2 linked regions of the Alligator mississippiensis genome follow. The protein of the gene in region 1 purifies or fractionates together with the protein of each later gene. This does not show direct contact. Links are inferred from orthologs where the notes say so. Each region holds a gene or a part of one and is shown on either strand. Other genes may lie near its edges.

The links.
Region 2: the proteins of ARPC1A (region 1) and ARPC4 fractionate together in Homo sapiens (co-fractionation; 7 studies listed by BioGRID and IntAct, with this or other methods). This does not show direct contact. The link is inferred for Alligator mississippiensis from reciprocal best matches to the Homo sapiens genes ARPC1A and ARPC4.

Annotation. Positions count from the first base shown.
Region 1 is NC_081836.1:53,602,620-53,609,579, forward strand, and holds the start of ARPC1A (actin-related protein 2/3 complex subunit 1A), read left to right. Parts: upstream 1-3,953; 5' UTR 3,954-4,068; intron 4,069-6,960. UniProt on the Homo sapiens protein: Probably functions as a component of the Arp2/3 complex which is involved in regulation of actin polymerization and together with an activating nucleation-promoting factor (NPF) mediates the formation of branched actin networks.
Region 2 is NC_081835.1:473,081-479,055, forward strand, and holds ARPC4 (actin-related protein 2/3 complex subunit 4), read left to right. Parts: upstream 1-3,818; 5' UTR 3,819-3,924; coding exon 3,925-3,927; intron 3,928-4,020; coding exon 4,021-4,139; intron 4,140-4,251; coding exon 4,252-4,363; intron 4,364-4,463; coding exon 4,464-4,559; intron 4,560-4,646; coding exon 4,647-4,817; intron 4,818-5,358; coding exon 5,359-5,364; 3' UTR 5,365-5,452; downstream 5,453-5,975. Other genes in the region: TADA3 (transcriptional adapter 3), read right to left, coding at 605-797, 882-1,067, 1,160-1,269, 1,348-1,451, 1,745-1,886, 2,624-2,729, 2,835-3,082, 3,171-3,377. UniProt on the Homo sapiens protein: Actin-binding component of the Arp2/3 complex, a multiprotein complex that mediates actin polymerization upon stimulation by nucleation-promoting factor (NPF).

The DNA of each region.
Region 1 (6,960 bases):
TGAGTTTTGGCAAGCCATCGAGGGCCGCAGGATAGGTAGCCAGGGGCAGATATATATTAATTTTCTAATTTTTTTAGGGGTCCCGCGGGCTGGATAGAATGGCCTGGTGAGCCACATCCAGCCCCCGGGCCGCATTTTGCCCACACCTGATCTAACTCCAGTCTCTTTCCAGGGTGTCACACAGCTTCCCAACAGCTGCCCATCGCAAGACTGCTATTATAGTGATGAAAACAGCCGGCTAGAGCTAACAAGGAGAAGCCCACGTGGGAAGAGACAGACAGAGGGATGGAAACAAGGAATGTATGCAGCTCTGTTGGGGAGAGACCTACCTCTGTGTTACCCCGTGAGAGCTTGAAGCTGTGACTTCCCCTGCATGTCCTGCACCATGAAATCATATAGGCGTGTTTGCTGTCAGTGGAAAGGGGTCTGTTGTAACACAGACTTTGCATTTTCATGTCAAGGACGGAAGGTGTAAAGTGTCTGTGTGACCTGGGCTGTCTCTTGTAAATAATTGTTCACACTAATAGTCTTAATGCATAGTCTTAATAAAGCTTCCTGGATGAAAGAGAAACTCAGAAAAGCTGCTGGATTTTTTTTTTTTGCTTGTAGAATGACAACAGGGGGCTTTGGATGGTTATAAGGCAGTGAGACCTGTGCAGGGTGGGAGCGGTGGGAGTCTAGAGGCTGTGGGGACGGTTACGGGGGGAAGCATCCCTCATTCTTTCCAACACCTCCCCTCCCTATCACTTGCCAGGTGAGAGCAGACAGACAGGGAAAGCAGAGCAACCACCCAACTGAGCAAGCTCACAGCATCCCCAATGGCTGGGAGAAATACATATAGCTATTAGGTATGCACACAACCTTGCTAAGTTCAAGAAACAGCAAGGCTATAGTGCTGAATATTTGACACTTTATACCCAGTGGATCATGCCTTAAATCTGCTTCCAAAGATGCTCACTAAAGGCTTGGCTCAGTGAAGGGGTTGAGAATCCCAACTCCCATTTCCTTTGGTGCAGGCCTCATCTTACACACAGCAACAGACCCCTGGCATTGTGCTCTGGACTGCACAGGGGCTAGGGCAAAGAAAGTGCACACCTGAAGACAGCACTTTCGTAAAGTTCTGAGCAAGCTGAAAAGCATTTGGATTATGTGCCCTTGTCTCCTACTGTAGGCTATGACCCCTTCACATATACTGCACATAAACAGAAATTAGAATAAGGCACAGCTGCTGTTAGACAGGCCCCAGCGTCAGCTTGCTACAGAACTACAGGAGCAGAAGAGTGCCTTAAATTGACAGTTATTAGTTAAGAAATGCAAACACGGCAACTTTTTAACAATCAGGGTGACTATTTGAGACGAATAAGGATGCTCTTGATCATTGAGACAGCTGCAATATTGATTCTTAAAATGGATTTCAATAAATTATGATAATCCACCTGGCTCCTTCTAGGGAAGTCATCAGCAGACGTATCTTGGAAACATCTAAATGTTGCAGTATTCTCATTTTTTTTTTTTTACAGAATGCCCAATGTTGTGATTCTTTCACTGTCCCTAAAGCGATAAAACACCAGCAGGCAGGTATTTTTATCCACAAATATCTATCCGTGTATATAATTACCATTTACGAATCCAAACATGTTTTGTACTTGCAGTTACAAAATTGCATGTGCTTGCACGTAATCTGCAGTTGCCTGCATTTAAAAAAAGACCCACCTGGATTTCTCAATACCTTCAAGTAAGACTTCCGCTGCACTCACATTTTTTTCTGAAAATCTCACAGTGTTGCCCTAGCATTATTGAAATTCCAGCAGTGTTAGCACAATTATAGTAAAAATGCCAGTGACAAGTCAGGACTAACATCTAATCCAGCCCAGCAAATCTGGACATGTTAAAATGGTAAGAATGCTGCCATCCTGCCTGGACTAGGATTTCCATTTTGCACTAGTGACATATCTGAAGCAGCAGTCAATTTTCAGCAAATCTTCATTGGAGGCAAAGCCTTCATCTATTGAGCTTTTAAAACTCTAAACTCCCACAGAGTTTCTGGTTTGGCTGCTTTCACCCTTGCCTGCCAGTGAAAATAATTTTGTAAACCTAAAACTGTATTTAAATGCAATTTCGTCCCTATTATGTAATGGGATGTGACCTAGTTACATATCTTTAATCTGCACAACTAAACTGGTTGTATAACCAGACAGTAACAGCAGCAGCAATTGCACATCTCAAAGAGTGGCTCTTAATTTTCTGCACAGTCTGCTCAGCCCTTTTTGTATGGTTGTGTTACTGGACTTCACCTGTGATGGTGTTTATCAGTGAAACAGTATCAAAAAGTGCTTCACCTTTTGAAAACCACAACCCTTTAAATCATGGATTTTCAAATGAAAAGAGGCAGCTTCACCCACAAAGAACTGGAGAAGAAATCCAGAGGTCACAACCCCCTTCCCTTCCTTTTGGCATAGGTAGGGGAAGAAGGTCCTGAAAGACGGAGTTTTGTTAGAATCATAGAACCACAGAAAATTCAGGTTGGAAGGGACTTAAGTCACATCTAGTCCAACCCCCTGCTCAAAGCAGGACCAGCCCCACCTAGCTCATCCCAGCCAAAGCTTTGTCTACCCAGGTCTTAAAAACCTTCAAGGACAGAGATTCCAGCACCTCCCTGGGGAGCTGTTCCAGTGGTTTACTACCCTCCTAGTGAGAATTTTTTTTCTAAAATCTATCCTAAATTTCCCTTGCTGCAACTTGGGCCCATCGCTCCTTGCTCTGTCATCTGCCCCCACTGAGAACCGTCCAGGTCCAGCCTCTTTGGAAACACCCTTCAGGTAGCTGAAGGCTGCTATTAAATCCCTCCTCGGTCTTCTCTTCTGCGGACTAAATAAGCCCAGTTCCTTCAGCCTTTCCTCATAAGTCGTGCCCCAGACCCACACCATTTTTGTTGCCTTCCACTGGATTTCTTGCCAATGTGTCCACATCCTCTCTGCAGTGGGAGGCCCAAAATTGGACACAGGACTCCAGATGTGGCCTTGCTAGTGATGAATAGAAGGGGGGGGAAATCACTTCTTTTGCTCTGCTGACAACGCTTCTACTAATGCAGCCTTGTATGCCATTAGCCTTCTTGGCAACAAGGGCACACTGCTGGCTCATATTCAACTTATTGTCCACTGTCACCCCCAGGTCTTTTTCCATAGAGCTGCTGCTTAGCCAGTCGGTCCCCAGCCTGTACCAGTGCCTGGGAGTGTGCCGCCCCAAGTGCAGGGCTAACAGGGTCACAGCTGTGAGGCTGAAGTAGATTATTGCTCCCAAAGTTTAACTGTGTAAAGACAAGCTTTGAAAAAGGGACTGGGAATAAGGAACCGACTTCAGTCTGGAGAAAAGCCTGAGCTCTGCTGAAGGTAACAGGTGCTGTCTCAGGGTGCAGCCTACGTGCTGGGCAGTGAGGGCTGCATCCTGCAAGGCCCCCATGGTGCTCCTCTGGACAAAGCCTGGCAGCCCATGGGCCATGCTGCATTGCCAGGGCTGTGACACACCTGCAACCCAGGAAGAGGTCAATGAAAGATGCATTGATTGGGCAACGCTGAGGAGCCCACCTCCTCCCAGGGCTCGCACCCTGCTCCTCCCCAGCCCCAAATACCCCTGCAATAACTTGCAAAGGAGCAGCAATGCACTTGCAACCCCAACCCGCGCCTGCGCAGTACTCCCTCCCTTCACTACCCTCACTGCGCAGGCTCCACTCTGGCCTCCAAGCTGCCCGTACTGCGCATGCTCGTACTGTTCCCTCAGTCCCACACTGCTCGCCTTTCCCCCTGGAGAGTGCGGAAAACGGCTCGTCTTCTATGCGCATGTGCACGGCGGGGAAGGGGCGACTCCCGGCATCTCCAAGCCCTCCCCCACACCGCCTTGCCTCCCTCGCGCAGGCGCAGTGCGCCCAGGGGCTCCTGGCCGCCGCGCAGGCGCAGTGGCAGTTTCCTGGATCCCTTGTCAGTGCCGGGCCCTGCCGGCCGCTCCCTCTCCGGCCTCGCGTGGACTGACCAGAGTCCGCGGGCCGCCCTCCCCTCCCCTCTCCCTCACCAGGTAAGCGCCCTCCGCCCCCCTCACGACAGTGGGTCCTCTGTGGGGGCTCGCGCCCCTCCCCCAACCCCCGCGGGGGTGCGGGAGGGGGAGGGGCAGGGGGTGCAGCCCCTCCCCCCTCGCAGGATGCGTTGGGGTGCGGGAGGGGGAGGGGCAGGGGGTGCAGCCCCTCCCCCCCGTGTGGGGATGTGGGAGGGGGTGCAGCCCCACCCCCTCCTAGCCCAAGGGGTTTAGGAGCGGGGCTGGGGGGGCCCCAAGTCGCCTTTGGGAGGGGAGTCCTGAGGAGTGGGGGGGCCAAATGGGTCAAACGAGACAGGTGGGTGTAGGGGACGGAGGACGTGTCTGTGTCTTCGTCCCAATGCGGCACGGCGATGGAAATCAGCGCGGCGGGAGCGAGCGTCCAGCCCCCCGCCCCGGGGAGGGCGCGACGGGCACGGCGGCGAGTCTCCAGCTTTCTTGTCATCGTCATGCGGGCCCGGAGGGCCGCGACGCTGCTGGGCAGAGCGCCCCGAGTGCCCGGGGAGCGGCGACGTCCTGTTTTGGGGATATCGCTGGCGAGGGCTCGGCGGCACTGCAGGAGTTGCAGCCCGCGTGAAGTCCGAGGGTTGTGTCACGGCGGACGGCACGTGTTGGGTGCCGCGGGAACAGCGGCGTTTTGGAAAATAGCTTTTTCGGGAAATAGCCGCCTGCTCTGGGTGAGGGTACGAGAGCGCTTCGTGCGTCGCGGCGTGTCTGGTCGTGGTCCGCGTGCACAAGAGCGCTGGACGTGGAGGCCGTGGCGGTGCTGGATAGCGTGGGTTGAGTATCTAGGGGACGGAAAAGAGCTCACCTGCTGTGACAGCTCTGAATTAGTCGCAGGCTTCGTATTAGTCCGTGTGCGTGCGAACCCGGGAAATTGAGCGTTGACGCTGCTGGACAGGGCGTGTTGAGCGCCGAGGGACCAGCAGCATCCTAGTAGAAAATTAACTGATGAGGGCATGACAGCGCTTAATGAGTCGCAGCCTTGTCTTAAGTCTACCGGCATACGAATGGGGGAAATCGAGGGTTGCGGCTCTGCGGGATAGAGCGCATGAAGTGTCTAGGGAACGGCAGTATCCTTGAAAATAGCTTTTTTTGGCAGAGCGTTGTCTGACACGGATGTTATCGTGGATCGAGAATTTTGCTGCGCGTCAGTAACGCTGAGGAGTTGTGGGATCAGCTGGTATGAATGAGAACGCTGCCCTGGAAACAGCTGCATAGTGCTTAGGGATGAGTATAGCTAAAAAATTGCATGAAGACTTTTCAGGGGGATGGTAAAAAAATAAATCAAGTCAGGAAAAGGAGATTGCAGATACCAAATGAGAACAGGGTGTGGAGGTATTCTTTTTTTTTCTTTCTTTTTTGAGAATTGTTTTGATGACCCTCCCAAACACTACTGTCACTCGATACAAGTGAAGACAGCTTGAACATAAGCTCATCAGGAGGATTTATTCCCTGGAGGGACACTGTCAGTTGGGAAGAGTGGATCAAAACTCTCTTCCACCTTTGGGGAACAAGAGAATATGTTAGGTTAGTGCTGAATATGGAGGATCTGTCTAAGGTGAACAACAGTTGTCATGAACGTTTTTCATAAGCTTCAGGACCAAACACAAGGATCATGAGTAAAATGTATAAAGTCGATGTTATGAAGACAGGAGTGTCTCTCCAACACGAGGCCTGTGTATTATGAAAGTATCAGATTATGGTAGGAACAGTGGTTTGAAATAGAAAAATAGCTATTTTTTTTATATATATTTGGCACTATTATATTTTGGGAAGATAAAAAAGGGCTGAGCAATCCTTGCTGGTGGAACGGCTTTTCCACATTTTCTGTATATGGAAATGTAGTGCTACCAGCGAGCACTAATACAAAAACCTGGAAAAAAGCGATTTGCCAACACATTTTGCTTAGATTAACAAGTGGAATCTCAAATCATGGTTGCCCAAGGTCAGAGGTGATTCAGATTCTTGCTAATGAGTGTGAAGGCATAACACCACTAATTATTTTGGTAGTACTGGATAAACCTCTTTAATAATAGTTTAGATTCATATACTAGAATACAAACAGTAAAAGAACATGTTAGGAAGATCATGGGGCAGTTAAAATTACAGCTGGCGTTTTATTTATATGAAGTTTTTAGCAATTTGTTTCCCCTCAGAATGCCCTTTTAAGAAGTAAATTTACCCGATGCTTCCCTAAGTGCAAGGTAATGTAGCATTTAAGTATTAGGAAAATAACCTGTTTTCAAAATATTTGCATTGTTTTAATGCTCTCTGACTACGCCTCAAGGCCATAGCACCTTTAGTACACTTGTTAAACTAGTGTAAGTTTAATGTCTAAACTCAGTAAAAAGTTTACTCATCTTTCAGTCACTCCCAAGTTTCTATTGGGTTGCCATTCATTTCCTGTTTGCTTCTGAATTCCTACCTTGCCCTACAGTCTCCACCCTCTGCTAACATGGCCATACTTGGGTATGTTGCCATTTCAGACTCTAATGGATGTAGCAGTCTTGCAATGACATCACTAGGATTTTTCTTTTTAGATGCATTTTGGGCAGGGGCGGGGGGTTGAACTGAGCCATTAGCCAAAGAGCAATTGCTATGAAAAGTAGTAGGAATGTGCGAACAATGGAGGGAACTGGCAAATCCAGTCATAGGCACTTGGGTGTACATATTTTGAATATTACAGGTGACTTAAATTGCTGTGATGTTATCTGCCGCCCTTTTTGGTTGTTTTTATTGTATGCTTTTGACAGTTGTGCGTTTGGAATATATTAACCCTGAAATTGCTTTCTATATGATTACCAGTACGCTTTTCAGTTGCATTTATCTGGTGGATCTGTTTTGACACAGTTGTAAATAAGGTTTTAACTTTAC
Region 2 (5,975 bases), on another chromosome or scaffold:
GGGGGCGGGCGGTGCTCGGCGCTGCACGGTCCCGCGCCCGGCGCAGCGGCTCCCCCGGCGCCAGGGCCAGCCACCGGTGACGTCAGGGGGCGGGGCTGGCGCGGCGCGGCCAATCGGGGGGCGGCGGCGGGGGTGCCTGGAGACGGGGCCAAGCTAAAATTAGCGCGGGGGGGGCGGGGCCCACTCACTGCCCCCCCCCCGCCCCCTCCCTCACCGCACCGCACCGCACCGCACCGCACACAGCGCAGGCTTCGCGCACGGGCTTTATTGAGGGCAGGCGCGGGCCGCACACAACGCGACCCCCGGGCGCGGGGCCGCCCCCACATCGGCCGCCCCGCGGGCCAGCTGGGCTGGGGCAGCCAGGGGCAGGGGAGTCACAGCAAGAGGCGCCCGGGGAGAGGGAGGGCAAGGGCGGCGCAGCGCCCGCCTGGCCGTGGCAGACAAGCAGCCGGGGTGCGGGCCCGGCCGCCCCGCTCCATGGCAGCAAGCAAGGCCCCTCCACCCCCCCGCAGCCCCGACCCCAGGGAGCGCGGCCCCCCCCCGGCACACGGCCCCGCGCTCAGCCAGTCTCCAGCGGGGCGGCGCGGGCAAGTCCAGAGCCCCGCTAGCCGTCCAGTAGCTTGAGGATGCTCTCCCGCTCCTTCAGGGTCTTCCAGGCCTGGTCCTTCTCCTTCTTGGTGGGCGTGCGCTTCTTCTGCCGCGCGGCCATGATCTTGCGGAAGGCGTCCATGACCTCGTTGTCCGCCATGCGCACGCGCTGCCGCAGCTCCTGCCGGTGCAGCTCCTCCTTGGCCAGCCTGCCAGGGCAGAGCCGTCAGCCCCACCAGACCAGGCCCAGGCCCAGGCCCGGCCCCGGCCCCCAGGCCGCCTGCGGTACCCACCGGAGCAGGTCGTGCTTCTTGGCGCGGTTGTGAGCGCTGAGCGCCTTGAGCTCCGCCTGCCGCTTGCGCAGCTCCGCCAGCACCTCGTCCTCAGCGTCCTCGGCCGGGCGGTCCTCCGAGTCCAGCAGCCCCTGTGCGATCAGCTCCTCCTTGATGCGCCCCTCCAGCGACTTGGTGTGCGGCACGCTGCCAGGGACGAGGGCGGGCTGCTGTCACCCCACGGGCCCTTTCAAGGCGGGCCGCAGGGAAGAGGGCAGCGGGGCCCCACGGCTGCTCACCTGAAGGGCTTGTTCTGGCTGCGGGGCGAGGTGCCAGCGCCATCAGCCCCCGAGTCCTTGCCCACGATCTCGGGGATCGGGGAGTCCTCCACGGGGGAGATGATGTTCTCCTAACAACAGAGCGTGGAGACAGGGGTCAGCGCTGGGCAGCGGGGGCCAAGTACGGCCCAGCCCGGAGCCCCACTCACCTCCACCAGCGCTTGTAGGAGGCGCTGCGTCAGGGGGCCGAAGGGGCAGCCATCCTCGGGCTGCTCGTGCTGGGCCTCCGACTTCTTCAGCAGTGCGTCCACATCTGCAGGGAGACGGGGAGGGGGCTATGAGCAGCGTTGGGGAGATGGGCCCCCGAGCCAGCTGAGCAGCGAGGGAACCCCCCTCCCACCTGTGGCTCTTGGTCCCAGGCCTCACCCCACCTGCCCCCCCGTAGAGCGTGCCCAGGCAGGCTGCAGAGCAAGGTGCCCGCGTGCTGGGCAGGGCCCCGGAGCCCAAAGGTCATCTGTGCTCCCCAGGCCTGGCTGAACCAGACCGTGCCCCGCACCAGGTGCCCCTGTGCCCAGCTGCCGGGATGCAGGGCTGAGCCAGAGGCACCTTTCGTGTCCAGCTCGGTCAGTGGCCCCAGGACGCCTTTCTTCTTGTCCGCAGCTGCAGCCACGCGGGCGCCGTCTTTCTGCTCCTCCAGCAGGTCCTCCTGGGCCCAGCGCTGCGAGTAGTGCTTCCCCAGGGGCGGGATCTGCAACAGAAGCCTTGTGAGCAGCACGCGGCTGGGGAGCCCCGAGCCGCCGTCCCCTCCTGGGGAACACGGCCACAGGGGAGTGCCCCAGCCCCACGGCCCAGCGCCCAGGCTCCTGCAGCGCTGCAGGCCCTGCCTCCAGGAAGTCACAGGGCGCCAGGCTCACAGCACATCGGCAGGCTCAGGGAGGGGCCACTTGAGCGTCCCTGCTTCTCTGCGTCAAGTCTGAGAACGCCCATCGCACCCGGAGCTTTGCACCGTGCCTGGCCCTGGGCTGCCGACACAAGGGGCTGCTCCGGTGCCCTGGCCTTGCCCCATGCGCCCGACCACGCCAGGAGCCTGCGCCGAGCCCCTGCAGGATCACCTCCAACTCCTGCCCCGCGCTCCCTTGTGCTCTGCTGCTGCCAACCAGCCAGAGGCTGATGGCCGAGCCGGGAGCCCTGCGGGGTGGCAGAGACCGCTTGTCTGGCCCTGCCTGGCAGCGACACGTGGGCGTCCTTTGGCGCCCGAGATGCTGCTCGGTGCCTGGTGCGAGGGCAGAGAACGCCCCCTCCTGGCTGGCGCCGCATTGGGCTTTCAGGCCCCCGACAGGGTCCCTGGGGCCGACAGCGGTGGGGGGGACGGGATCGGCTCAGCATCGCCTGGCTGCGGTCCCCGTCCAGGCCGGGCCCGGGGGCAGCGTGCAGGGCGCGAGCTCGGCGGCAGCGCCGGGCGCAGCTGGGCCCGCGGGCGCTCACCTTGTAGTGCTCGGCCTCGTCCTCGGGCGGCTTGAGCAGCTCCTCCAGCACGCGCAGCTCCTCGGTGGTGAGGTCGGCGCAGTACGGCTCCACCGAGTTCCAGAACCTGCGGGGGGAGGGGCAGAGCCGTGCTGCGAGGGGGCCGGGCAGGGCAGGGCAGGGCAGGGCAGGGCGGAGCGGGGCAGGCGGGCGGGCGGGGCCGGGCACGCACCTGTTGGGCGCGTCGTTCTTGGGGATGCGCGGCACGTCCACGGGGTCGTCGGGGAACTCGTACTCCTGGATCTTGGGCTGCAGGTTCTTGGACTTGGGCCGCCCGGGGCCCGGCCCCGGCCCGTGGCCCCCCTTGCCCTCGAGCTTCTGCTTCTTGGGCTTGCCGTGCTTGACCGGGGCGCCCAGGTCGTGCTCCTTCAGCTTCAGGAACCGCCGGTCCCCCTTCTTGTCCTGCCAGTCCGTCAGGATCTGCGGGCGGCGCGGCGCGGCTCAGCCCCGGCCCGGCCCGGCCCGGCCCCCCTGCCCCGCCCCGCCCCGCCCCGCCCCGCCCCCGCACCTGGGTCTCGGCCTCCAGCACGCGCAGGCGGCGGCTGGCGGACGACAGCAGCGTCTCGAGCTCCAGCTGCAGCGTGTCCAGCTCCTCGATGCCGATGCCGTCGTCCTCGGAGCGCGCCAGCACGGCCGTGTAGCGCGGGCACACCTTGCCGTGGTCCACCGACTTGAAGTCGTGGAACTGCAGCGGGCAGTCCTTCAACTCGCTCATCGCGCCGGGCGCCGCGCACCGGGCGCTCCGCACGTGGCCGCCGCCGGCACCGGGCGCGGGGGGCGGGGGCGCTCCGCCGGGGTCGCGCCGCGGCCGCGCTCAGCCCCTTCCGGCCGCCGTAGCCAGAGTCAGCGCCCGCCCCGCGCGCTCCTCATTGGCTGGGCCGCACCCCGCGGAGATCCCCATTGGCCGCGCCGCCCGCTCGCTCTCCGTTCCCTAATATGGAGGCCGCGGCGGGGCCGTACCAAGTGCGGCGCGGGGGGAGGGGGGGGCGCGGATCCCGCTGGCGGGGGCGCGCGCTCAGGGCGCTCGGGGCCGCGGCGGCGAGAGGACCCCGGCCTCGGAGGTGAAGTCGCGGCCCCGGCGCGGCCGCTGCTCCCGCGTGAGGGGGTGGCTCCGGCTGCGGCTCCTGCAGCGCTCCGCCCCCCCCCCCCCGCCCCCGGGGCGCAATGGGCGGTGCCGCCCGTCCCGGAACAGAGGAGCCGCCCGCGCCGCTAGTTCCGCTTCCGCTTCCCGGGACCCCACCGGAGCCGCCGTCAGCGCCGCCATGGTAGGACCGGGCCGGGCCGGGCGGGGAAGCGGGGCGGGGGCGGGGGCCGGGGCCGGGGGCCGGGGCGCGCTGACCCGTGCCCGCTGCCCGCAGACCGCCACGCTGCGCCCCTACCTGAGCGCGGTGCGCGCCACGCTGCAGGCCGCGCTCTGCCTGGAGAACTTCTCGTCGCAGGTGGTGGAGCGGCACAACAAGCCCGAGGTGGAAGTCAGGTACGGGGCCGGGGCCCGGGCCCGGGGGGCGGCGCGCCGGGGGCCGCTGGCGTTGCGGGGCGGGGGCGGGGGCGGGGGCCGGGGCCGGGGCTGACGTGTGGGCGGCTGCCAGGAGCAGCAAAGAGCTGCTGCTGCAGCCCGTGATCATCAGCCGGAACGAGAAGGAGAAGGTGCTGATCGAGGGGTCCATCAACTCGGTGCGGGTCAGCATCGCCGTGAAGCAGGTGAGCCGGGGCCGGGGCCCGGGGGGGCGGCGCGGGGCGGGGCGGGGGGGCCGAGCCTGACTTCCTCCGCCCCCCTGCTCCCCCCCTCGCCTGCCCGCAGGCTGACGAGATCGAGAAGATCCTCTGCCACAAGTTCATGCGGTTCATGATGATGAGAGCCGAGAACTTCTTCATCCTGCGCAGGAAGGCCGTGGAGGTGAGGGGCGCCGGGCCGGGCCGGGCCGCTTCCCGCTGGGCCCCGGGCACAGCAGGGCTGAGCGCTCGCCCCTTCCTCTTCCCCCAGGGCTACGACATCAGCTTCCTGATCACGAACTTCCACACGGAGCAGATGTACAAGCACAAGCTGGTGGACTTCGTGATACACTTCATGGAGGAGATCGACAAGGAGATCAGCGAGATGAAGCTGTCCGTCAATGCCAGGGCTCGCATTGTGGCGGAGGAGTTCCTCAAAAACGTGAGGCTCGCAGGCGGGGCGGTGGGCGCCCGTGGTGCGGGGCAGCGGCACGGTTCTGTTAGAGGGCTCGGTGGAGGGGAGCAGAGCGGCCTGCTTAGGCTGTCTGACCCCCCTGTTAGAAGAAGCCCCTGCCCGCTGGCCCCTGCGTGGGGGGCTGAGGCTCCCCGTGCAGGGAGCGGTGGGGGGTGCAGCAGCCCCTGCAGGGCCGAGAGACCTGGGGCAGGCCGCCCACCCGCTGCAGGGAGGCTGGTGACATCCGCGGCAGCCTGTTGGGAGCGAAAGCAGAAGCTGTGGGTTGGAGCGTCTCGGGCAGGCAGCGGGGGGAGAAGGGATGTCTCTAGCCTGCTGCGCTGTGGGAGGGGCCTCAGTGCCGGCTTCCCACGCTGATTGTTTCCATCCCGCCCTCGTGCGCTCGGGCTGAGGCGGCTCGGCTGTGCAGACGCAGGGGGGCTGGCAGGGCGCCAACCTGGCCCTGTGCGGTGTGTGGCCGGAAATCAGACCTGCAGCCATTAACGGCCTGTCTCTTCTCGCCCCTGCCCAGTTTTAGACCATGGTGCTGGACTCCACGGCTTCACGTTCTCATTCTCTCCTGCGTCTCTGCACAGCCGCCCTGCCAGGCTGGGGGGCCGCAGCCTGGGCCTTGCTCTCGGGAAGAGAGATGAGAAGCAGCCAGATCTTATGGAGCTGTCCAGTGGAATGTACATTGCATTCTCCATCGTCCCCAGGGAAGGGAGGGAGGAGTTAATATTTGAAGCAAACCGTGCTTGTTTGAGACTGTGTCGACTCCATGTTCTTTTTTAAATGACTAATCATTTGCTGTAACGTCTCCGATTCTCCTAGCGGTGGGGGCGCGGGGTTGGAGGGGAGCTTTGGCTGCTATGGCGCTGGACAGCACGTGCGATGCGTGTCTCCTGCCCCGAGGCTGGCAGCTGCTGGCCGCCCTGCCAGCGTCCAGCAGGGCCTCTCTGCAAAGGGGGGTGCCCGCTAGCTGCCAAATGTGGCTCCTTGCCCCTAGTGCTCGGGCCGCAGCTAGGCCGCGCCTGGTGCCATCTGCAGGGGTTTGGCCCAGCAGCAGAGGGGCCTGCTTTGCTTTTAGGGCAGGACTGCAGCTCTCTCGGGCTGGGGCTGGGCCCTCCACCTCCCTGCTCCTGGGCAGTG